Sus scrofa: one gene and its partner. The main gene of each other region encodes a partner of the protein of the gene in region 2 in a complex. Links are inferred from orthologs where the notes say so. Each region holds a gene or a part of one and is shown on either strand. Other genes may lie near its edges.

The links. Proteins that work in one complex are often made in the same cells at the same time.
Region 1: the proteins of TLK2 (region 2) and ASF1A are in contact, whole or in part, in a crystal structure (PDB 7LO0), measured with the Homo sapiens proteins. The link is inferred for Sus scrofa from reciprocal best matches to the Homo sapiens genes TLK2 and ASF1A. Residues at the interface, in NP_001271262.1 of Homo sapiens: Arg11, Arg12, Gln13, Leu15, Leu16, Glu17, Arg19, Phe20, Thr21, Gly22, Val23; in NP_054753.1 of Homo sapiens: Val45, Ala48, Glu49, Glu51, Asp54, Asp88, Val92, Thr93, Val94, Leu96, Arg108, Gly110, Tyr111, Tyr112, Arg145, Thr147, Phe149.

What each region holds. Positions count from the first base shown.
Region 1 is NC_010443.5:43,201,009-43,205,786, forward strand, and holds part of ASF1A (histone chaperone ASF1A), read right to left. Parts: intron 2,564-4,778; coding exon 2,387-2,563; intron 1,103-2,386; coding exon 890-1,102; 3' UTR 1-889. UniProt on the Homo sapiens protein: Histone chaperone that facilitates histone deposition and histone exchange and removal during nucleosome assembly and disassembly.
Region 2 is NC_010454.4:16,252,914-16,258,647, reverse strand, and holds the start of TLK2 (serine/threonine-protein kinase tousled-like 2), read left to right. Parts: upstream 1-2,005; 5' UTR 2,006-2,380; exon of another isoform or gene 2,381-2,672; coding exon of another isoform or gene 2,673-3,629; intron 3,630-3,801; exon of another isoform or gene 3,802-3,904; intron 3,905-5,395; 5' UTR 5,396-5,400; coding exon 5,401-5,481; intron 5,482-5,734. Other genes in the region: uncharacterized protein LOC110256160, read right to left, coding at 2,673-3,629. UniProt on the Homo sapiens protein: Serine/threonine-protein kinase involved in the process of chromatin assembly and probably also DNA replication, transcription, repair, and chromosome segregation. Phosphorylates the chromatin assembly factors ASF1A and ASF1B.

The DNA of each region.
Region 1 (4,778 bases), on a different chromosome or scaffold from region 2:
AATACATATAGTTCCAAAATAGTAATGTATCTATTATCATAAAGCTTCATAGATCTTTCCAAATCCACTGTTTTTTATATAAATAGTGCCAACAACAGATGACCTATCAAAACAGTTTTAAAGAGTTAAGTTCATAGTATTTTTATAAATCTAATGAATAGGATCAAGTCATTATACTCTTCTATTCTTAAAACTTAGGGAGTTTGTATCTGCTCTGGACAGGTAATAACAATGTATGATTCAAGGAGTGTTCTGATGTCCTCAACTGTTACAACAACAAAAAATCATAGCCAGGGGACCTTATAAACAATTAACAGTACATGAACTGAATAGTATTCATGAGAGGTTTCAAGGTGGCCTGGAAAATCAGATCCTAAAGTTCTTGGTAGCATACAGTTGACTTCAAATCCCTTCTTTAAGGACATGCTGAGAAAAGAATGGAAAGTTGCCCCTTAAATCAAACCAAATTATGTGTTATCACGGGAAGACACATTTTAGCTGAAATGAACTTTGTTCTTTCAGAGGTTTGCAAAATAGTGGTCCAAAGAGTATTGTCCAAGAGGCTAAGACATTTCTACAACCTGGTCTAATGATTCATTTTTCTTTATAAGTGCTTTAATTACATATAGAGGAGAAGAAAATAATATATATGTTTTAATCAGATTAGTTTCAGAACAAATAAAATAACACATTAGAGAAAAAAATTACTTAAAAATAGTTGTATTTATATTCCACAATTTGCTCAAATACTGGTTTTCTTATAAACTTTCTACAGGATGTTTTAAAACAAATTCTTCACATTGTATCTTGACTATGTACTTACGGAATTTCAGGGAAATAGTTCTGTGTGTTTTAATAGCTTAATTTGTACTAAAGGGATGGCGGGTGGTCACATGCAGTCCATGTGGGATTCTAACATGACATTTAGTGAGTTTTCTGACGTGGACCATCCCTTTGATGCTGAAGGTAATGCATCTGTTGAAAGAAGTGATTGTAGATTTGGATTACTGCTCTCTGGATCTTCCAGTTTCTCTGTGTTATCTTCCCAGTTAATGTGGAATCTTGTGACTCGGGGATTTGATGCCAAAATATTCCTTTGAAGCTACAGGAAGAAGGAAACATATAAATGGTAAACGCTAAGAAAGTTAGATAACTATATACAAATAGACCTTAATAAGAATGGTTCTTTATTTAGTACTCCTAAGGACTAAGTTCACATACAGAGGCAAAAGTCAAAGCACCTTAAACATAACTAATAAATAAGGACCAGGGCTGCAGCAAGGAAATTACTCTAGCCTAAAGGAAACTAGATATGGAGGACCTGAGGGAATTATCCAGATCTTTTTCTTAATCCAACATAACATCCAACTCTATACTTGTTTCCTAAAAGGAAGCATATCTCTTGAATGCTTCAGAGGAAACTTTATTTAACAAATTAACATGCTTTCTAGCTTGATGTTGTGTTTCTTCAGTAAAATTTCCAAGGAAAATGAAAAATTTTTCCAAATATAACCTCTCATTATTAATGGTTTTCTACCTTTTAATTATTATGGCTCCTTCTTAGAAACAGTACTCTGGTTTCTCCTTTTTGCTGTACAAGGAGTCATACAGGTAACTAATAAATTAGAAATGGAAGGTTCCTCTCATCAGAATACAAAACATTCCAGCCTTATTACCAGAAAGGAGAACATTCCATTCTACTCCCATGTAATTTTTCTTGCGTGGTCTGGCAGAGGGTTATGTTCAATCTCACAAAGAACACCAGTTACTAAACTATTACAGTTCCCAATAGAAAATCATAAAGTCCCCAGTATTTTTGAGAATACTAAATCACAGACTTCACCTTCCCTCTCAGAAGCTAAGCTGTTTTACCACCAGAAGTATTTAAGACCTTTAGTTTCACCTCTAAGAATAACAGATAAAGCAAACATATAGGTATACTGAGATAAAAATGCTCATACAAAAAACAAACACAACCCCACCCCCCAATTTTGGGAAGAGTTAACACACAAAAATGTTAATTGAATAATCAGTACAACAAACATGAATGTGAATGTCCTAAAAATTGAAATGGATAGATTCATGATGTATGGGAAATTCCATTCAGGGAGCCATTAACAAAGGCCTGTTTCTAATAGGAGGTGCTTTCAATTTTCTAAATCATCAGAGACTCTCAAGGTGCCTAGTCAATATTAATCAGTAATGTCTAATCTGAAGGTATGGTTTGAGGTCATACATGGTAATGGAACAATGATTAGTTTGCTCAGTTGGTACAATGACCTCAAATTTATTTTGTCTCAAAGCCACTTTCATAGTGTACTTTGAAATGGCAACTGCTTAAAACATTGCATTGTAAAATTAATGAAAGTAATAATCAATACATTACCTTAGAAAAGTCTGGTTTTACAGGCGGATTTTCCCTTAATTCTGTCTCGGTGTATTCATTATTTACATAATAACCAACTCTAATAAATTCTTGACCTCGATAGGTGCATGTAATTAGCACAACTGTTACACCTACTGCATCTGCATCTGGAATGAGTCCTGGATTAGGTGCATCAGCCTAGAATAATTTAAAAAGAAAAGAAATACACATCACAGGAGGCTATTCACTGCAAGCAAAACTGGAGTTCTGGTTAAAACACTGAGCACCTTCGGTTAGGGGCACAGTAACCAAAAACTTAGAAATCATCCTGAGAAGGCACATGTTCACTTTTTTTTTTTTTTTTGGCTTTTTAGGGCCACACCCATGGCATATGGAGGTTCCCAGGTTAGGGGTCCAGTCGGAGCTGTAGCTGCCAGCCTACACCACAGCCACAGCAACACAGGATCCAAGCTACGTCTGTGACCTACACCACAGCTCACGGCAACGCCAGATCCTTAACCCAATGAGTGAGGCCAGGGATTGAACCTGCAACCTCATGGTTCCTAATTGGACGTGTTTCTGCTATGCTACGACGGGAACTCCACATGTTCATTTTCGAGACTGATTATAGCTAGAAAACATAGTTCATGTTTCTCCACAGTATACTGAAGTACCCTGGGTACTTGAAAACATCACTACTTCTAGAAGAAAATAAATCTGGCTACATACAGTCTATGGTGGTTCATGAGGAATTATACAATATTCAATTATAAAACCTTTTATAAAATACAGTAAACAAATCAATAGTCTTATTGATTCCAACCCTTCCTAGTCATAATTTTCAGATCTAAATTAGTAAATATTCAATTATCCTCCACACAGCCTTTTGGCAGCAAATGTTGATTGTCCAATTTCCCAGGACACATTCTCACACCCACTCACCCAACCCTCACAGATATTCTCATAGTAAATTAATGTAAAACTGAAAATGGAATGGAAATAGTTACATAGTATAGCAGATTGTCAAAAAATACTAAATCACATATACTATGGAAATTCACTGATGGTAAAGTTTGTTTTAGGCAGAGGTAATCAATGATCCTGTTCTGAATCAAACTGCTGTAAGCTGAACTGTGACAAAGGCAGGAGGTGAGGCAAGTGAGCTAGAGGTGGCTGAGAGCATGAGCAGCACGGGGGCCCTGTCCATAGCCATGGGCAAGACAGTGAGGACACTGGTTGGAAGGAGGCACAGACGGGACAGGCAGTGACAGTGAGGCATCTGAGCACAACCCAAAGAGCCATTCTCAGTGGTAGGTGCTTGAAGCCCCAGCAGATCGGCTTACTCTTACTAGGGCACCAAAGCACATCCACGGGACAAGCCTGGGTAAAGACTTCAGCCAATGCCTTAGCTTGGGAAGGCTCCTGGCTGGCCTTCTCAGTCAAGCCATTTTCGTAACAGACTAGTGACTGCTATATACCTACTACATGTAGGGGACCTAAAAAGGCATAAATCATCTACCTAGTCACCTAGACTAAAAACGTCTAGTGAGTCTTGACATCTGTCATCTCAAAGCATAATCCAAGTCTTCATCTCTTATCTGGAATATTACCAAAGCTTCCCTACTGCTCTCCCCCAGCTCTAGCCAATTTATACAGCAGCCATCTAAACCCAGATCCATTCCTATCCCTTCACCAGGTTTTAAAACCTCAGATTCTGAGATAAAAATTTCACTTCTTTAACGCTTCTAAGGCCCTTTACAACTGGTCTCCAACCAATACCACACCCCTTTTACGCCACATCTCTTCTTCTAGAAATGTAGGTTCTTTAAAATGTAGTGATAGTCTTTCCTGTCTAGCATATACTGTTCCCTTGGCCTGAAAGGTCCTTTCCTAACATTCTGAAAAATTCATCTTCTGAAGCTTTCATCAAATATATGCCTCTCGGCAAAACCCTTTCTAATTCAAAGGTATAATTAATAGCACTCTTTATGCACTCATATTACTTGACACAAATTCTCTACTAATGTATGTCTAACAATCTAAATATGTTACCCTTCAATCTTCTCTGAGATTCTAGGCTTTATCCTGGGCAGGAGTCCTATCCAGTTCATCTTTGTAATCACAAGTCTGGCATAGCTCTAGGGACAGAGTATTTGTATTCTGAAATTCATTCAGAACTCAGTTCCTACCCTGACATGGTTTATGACCTCTGGAGAGATACCAGAATGGGGACAGAGGGCCTGTCCTGAGAATATGCTATCTGTCTTTGGGTAGAGATGGGAAATAGAGTTAGTTCAGTACGGTGGGAACTTTCCCCCCATATTGCTTCCCATCTGCTCAACAAACTCGTCCGAGGCTTGTTTGTGTTTTAAAATTTGTTTGCTAAAGGATGCAGCTTGAGCAAATTCAAGGA
Region 2 (5,734 bases):
GGGTTAATGGATGCAGACTATTGTCTTTGGAATGGATTAGCAGTGAGATCCTGCTGTGTAGCACTGGGAACTATGTCTGGTCACTTAAGATGGAGCATGATAATGTGAGAAAAAAGAAGGTATACATGTATGTTTAACTGGATCACCATGCTGTACAGTAGAAAATTGACAGAACTCTGTAAACCAGCTATAATGGAAAAAAAATTATTTAAAAAAAACCCCTCCATTCTCAAGGGTAAAGGAAGAAGATTAAACAGACCAGATGCCTTTTACATTTTCCTCTACTCACCTACTCCCACCCCAAATGTAATGCTTTCTTTAAGAGACGTCAAGGGAGTTCCCATTGTGGCTCAACAAGTAACAAACCCGACTAGCATTCCTGAGGACTCAGGTTCAATCCCTGGGCTTGCTCAGTGGGTTAAGGATCCAGCGCTGCTGTGAGCTGTGGTGTAGGTCGAAGATGTGGCTTGGATCCTGCATTGCTGTGGCTGTGGTGTAGGCCGGCAGCTGTAACTTCGATGTGGGTTCGTTAACCGTTGAGCCATGAAGGGAACTCCAGCCTGTGACCTACTGTGACCTGCAGAGAACAGCTTGGGGACACCAGAACTAGTCTGAGGCATGTCTGGCCGGCTCCCTGGTCTGCTCTGTGACTACAAACATGAGCCTGGAGGACTTGTCATTCGCTACCCTGAAGGCAGAGAGGACCAGATGATCAGCGTGCACATCTTCTAGATGAATCCGCCTTTGAGCTCTCTGAAGGGAACTGGGCCTTTGCATGGTAAATGTCACCATTTGCCAGTCCATGACCAGCTGAGTCTCACAAAGTTGCCCCGTGACCAAACACACTTTAAATGAGTTGGTTCATGAATCCAAGTTTAAATCACTTTGTGAAAAGAACCATCTGACAGTAACAGTTTATTTTGAAATTATCCATTGTTTTTTCCCCTCACTTTGATATTTTCACTTATAGAATGCTCATAAATAGAAGCACTCCATTTTTGTGGTAAGCAAATTCATTAAATTCCTATGAGCAATTCCAATTGGGATGAGTTAAGTCTGGAGTCGGGCTGTGGTCAGACCTATGACAGCGTAAGTTCTCTGACATGCAGAGAAGAATGCATTGGACAAAGTGAAACTTAAAATCTCATCTTTTCCTGTATTCCAATGATTTATTTTTTAAAGTTATTTCAAAAAATGGGGGGTGGGAGGTGGAATCATAGCCTTTTAGACCCACAAAGGAGTTTCAAATCCTCTAGTCCAAACTCCTTCATAGATGAGGTTGGTGAAGCTTGAAAAGTGTAGGTAACGGGACCAAGTAGCTTGTCTGAGGAGAAGCTGGGCTGGAACTCTGCTCTGACTCTGTCCAGTGTTCTCTTAAACTCTTCTCTCCTCATTTGAAACATTCCAGTGTCATTTTACTTTACAAAGGAGTTACTTTCTTCATCACTCACCATAGGGCAGAACTTGCCTCACTTGCTTTTCTTTTTGTGTAAGCAAGGGTAAGGGAAGGTGCACTCTCTACTTCTTGGTTCTCCTGCTCTCGATAGTTGTCCACCAGGCTGTCCTCCTCCTTCCCTCTGCCTGGAGCTTGCACTCCCCCTCCCTTGCAAACACTGTTATCTTTGGAAATATGTGTGTGCACGGCCCAACCTGGCCGTGGGATTTGAAGCAAGGTGACTCTTGGTTGAGTGGTGTTTCCATAGTCCTTGAATTTGCCCAAGGGCTTGGAAGGCTGGACAACTAACAAAAAATAAACTGCCATCCTTTGCCCTTTCAGTAGGTCTGTGTTCCATTAACACAGAATGGACAGAATTAAGAATAAGGAAGAAAAAAAGGCAGAAACAGGTACTTCACTTGAAGTACTTGCCTACCCCCCAGAAAAGTTCAAGGCTCTTGTTCATTATCTGAATTTTCCGCTTGTGATTCGCTTGTAGTCCTTAACTCATCTTCAGATTAAGGAAGCATCAGAGGAGAATAAAAAGTTGGGTATTTGCCTTGAAGTCAGTGTCCCGGCTCATATACAATCGGTGAATGTGATTTCTTTCCTCTAGTGCTGGGTGATCAGAGTGGGAGCCTTTTCCAGTGCAGAAAGCCTTCTGGCTGCCGCAGCTCCTGCGCCCTTTCACACTGCCCATTCCTCAGAAGACACTGTGAGGGGCAGGCCTGTTTTCTCCAACCTAGCACTTCCCCTTAGAGCCCCTTAGTACCCAGGAGGGCCTTGTTTTTAATCAGAGGTTGAAATGGAACCTCCCCCAGGGCGTACGGAGAGAGTCCCTTTGGGGCAGCGCCCCCCCTTCCGCAGGGCCGCATCCTGGTGGGGGTGGGGGCTCAGCCTTGATCCCAGGGCACCTCTAGTCCCTGGAGACGTCCAGCCAACCAGGTACGTGGAGGGGAAACGCTGTCCGCTGTCGATGGCGGCATATGTGGGTTTGGGGAGCAGGACTGTGGGGTTGGAGAGCGGCGGGGCGTGGGAGCTAGGCAACACCGGTGGGCACAGCCAACTCACTAACTGGGCGTCTCCGGGGAAGTTCGGGCGGGGTTTGCTGGCTCATGGGCTTTCTTCCTCTAAAATCCATCCTGGGCAGAGCAACCCCGCTTCTCACCCAAACTCGTGGAGACCAGGGATTAGGCGGACGCCGGGCTCTGGGAGGCGGGTCGGGGAAGCAACCAGCTCAGGCGGCGAGGGCCCTCCCACGCCGGTCCGCGACCCAGGGTGCCGGCCCACCCGCCTCGACTGGGGCCAGTTCCGCGGGGCGGGGGCCGACCTTACGAAAACGGCGGCGGGGGCTCTGGGACTCCGGCCCGGGCCGGTCCGACTCCCCTCGCGTCGCAGCCACTCTGGCTGGAGCGCTTGCCTGCCCGCCCTCAGCCGCCCGGCGAGGCAGCGGCCTCCTCTGCCGGCGCGGGGTCCCCTGGTTAACCCCTGCCCGCCAACCCGGCCGCTGATTGGAGGAGGCGGGGCGCCGGGGCAGCGGGGACCCCCCCCACCTTCCTCTTCCCCTCCCCCTCCTCCCCCACTGTCGGCGCTTCCCCCACCCCCCCAGGACCCCCCCGCCTCCCAGCCGTGCAAATCTCGCGAGGAAACACGCGGTTTCACTAGTGTGTTTACACCGATCACTACTAATCCGGACCGAACCGATCCGGATTAAGGGGCCGGAGGCGGGTCTTGGGCACCAGCGGTTCCGACCCCCCCGCCCTCCACGCCGCACCCGAGTGGCCCCTAGTCGAGCGGGCCCCCACCTCCCGACCGGGCCTGGGCTCTTCTGCGCCTCCCTTGGCCTTTGTCCGGCGCCAGGAGGCCGGTCCCGCGCCCCCCGCGGCCTCCCGGGCCCGGGCCCGCGTCGGGCGCCTGGCTCTGTACGCGAGCCCGGGGATCTGCGGCCTCCGAGGCCCCCCTCCCCCGCCCGCCCTCTCGTGGAGCCCGGCGCCGGCGGCGGCTGCCCGGGCGGGGGGTTGCGGCGCTCAGGAGAGGCCCCGGCTCCGCCCCGGGCCTGCCCAGGGGGAGTGCAGAGCGGTCCGCAGCCGGGTCGGGTCGGGGCCCCTCCCGGGAGGAGCGTGGAGCGGCGGCGGCGGCGGCGGCAGGTGAGAGGCTGAGCCCCGGGCGGGGGAGGGCGCCAGGCCTGAGGCATTAACCGTCCGGGCGACCCCCTCGGCTGAGGAGGTTGCGGCCCAGGCCCACCCGAGGGCCGGCGCCGGGCCGCAGCTTCTCGGCGCGGAGGCGGGAGGGGCTTCCCGAGGGCTGCGGGTCGCCGAGGGGCCGGGCCGAAGATGGGGGAGGCCCAAGCGGCCCCGGCCTGGGAGTGGGGCCGGCGGCCGGCGGGAAGAGGGGGGCGCCCCGGCAGCTGGAGGCCCCGGCAGCCTCCCGGGCGCCCCCGAGAGCTGGCCCGCCCTCCCTCCGTGACAGGTGGGCCTGGAGTTGGGGAAAGTTTGGAACCGGCGGGAGGCGAGGGGCGCCGGGACCAGGCCCCATCGGCCCTGCTTCTCGGCTGTGGGCTGCAGGGAGGATTCCAGTCCAAGGCCCCGCTGGAATGAGACAGTGTGGATCTTTCCTTAACATGAGTTGACATTAAATGGAATAACCGCTGGGGCGTCATTTTCCGGGCCAGGCCTGGGGATGGAGGTTTAGGAAATGTGCCGAGAGACCCTGGGGCTTGAGGGAGGCTTCAACCTCTGCCATTCCGGCCTCGATTAGGGCAGGGCGAGACTCGGAAGGCCACTTAGGGGAAACACTTTGAATCTCCTTTTTTTCTTTCCTTTTTCTTTTTGTTTTTCTTTTTAAAGATGCCTTTTTACCCTTCCGAAAATTTCCTTATTCTCTCTCTAATCTGCACTTGTTTGTGTGGGTGAAACTTTAATTTGCTACCCTTTTCATTCCCCTTTGCCCCAGGCTCTCAATCCAGGAAGGGAAATGAAACTGGAGGACTTTGTAGGGGTTGTTACTGGAAATTGTGGAGTTGTTAGATTGCAGAGGAGAATGTTGAATTCATGTTTTCAGGGAACTTTTCTATCATGCCAGTCATTCCAGTAGCTAATGATATGTTCGGAGGGGTTCTATGTAATGGTATATGCTCCTTTTCCACTTTTAACATTAGAAAGGTTTCCAATGGGTTCCGCAGGAGTTGATCTCTTGCAAACGATGGAGGTATTTGCTGAGAGTTAGCCTGTGCATTAATTGGTCATGGAAGGAGTTTAAAAATGGTGTCCTTCTGCCCCTCCCTGCTTGGAAGGAGTGCTAAAAGCAGATGTCTAGAGAAACCTACTGCTCCAGGGAGTGGCACATTTTGTAAAGGGATGGTTATGAAGCTACACTAATTTCCTGAGTGAATGCAGGTTATGGTTTTACCATGGGATCTCTATTAAATTTGGAATAATTAATTCCCTTTTTCATGAGCAACTGTGGGCTCCTCAGAGGAAGGAGGTATATAAAAGCGTTATTTGAAGTTATTTGTAGCTTCTGATTCATGCTGTATTATTTTGAAGTTATTATTAATGATTCATATTTTTAGGTTAAGAATTAGTTCCTGTGTGTTTGGGAAAAAAATATCTGAAAGTACTTACCTAAATTCAAAGATTGATAGAAAAAATTTTCTTTTATAAGCTGGTTCTTGCTCAACTCTTACAGCCATTCTGTGAAGGACTGGAGGGGTTTTTTTGCTGTTTAAATCAAATCTGAACTAGATAAAATAAGTGACCCTCAGAAGAGGACTTTTGAGCCACTTTACAACTTTAAATGTATTATTTAATATGCTCATTGTAGTTTTTCACTTGTATGTTATATTTACTGGAGGTTAACCTGATGTGACCACTCAACAAAATAGTGAGTTTTGTTATATCTAAAAATGGGTTCCTCATATTTTAACTTTTATGTTCTCACAGCCTACTTTTTCTTTTTCAGTAGAAATGATGGAAGAATTGCATAGCCTGGACCCCCGAAGGCAGGAATTATTAGAGGCCAGGTTTACTGGAGTTGGTGTTAGTAAGGTAAGTAAAACGATGGTAATGACCACTGATCATAGTCTCTTTTAAACACATTTAAAAACGTACGTGCAGTTTGGGTGGACCATACGGATACATTGAAGGGGAAAAGACTTGATTCATGGTTCCAGTGAACTTTTAAATCCTCCCAGTGGTTCCAGTCCGTTAGCAGTACATTTGAAGGTATCTCTATGGGAGTATATGCTTTTCCCCTTCTCATATGGGAGAGGTTTCCCATGGGTCTGTTCCGAGGATACTA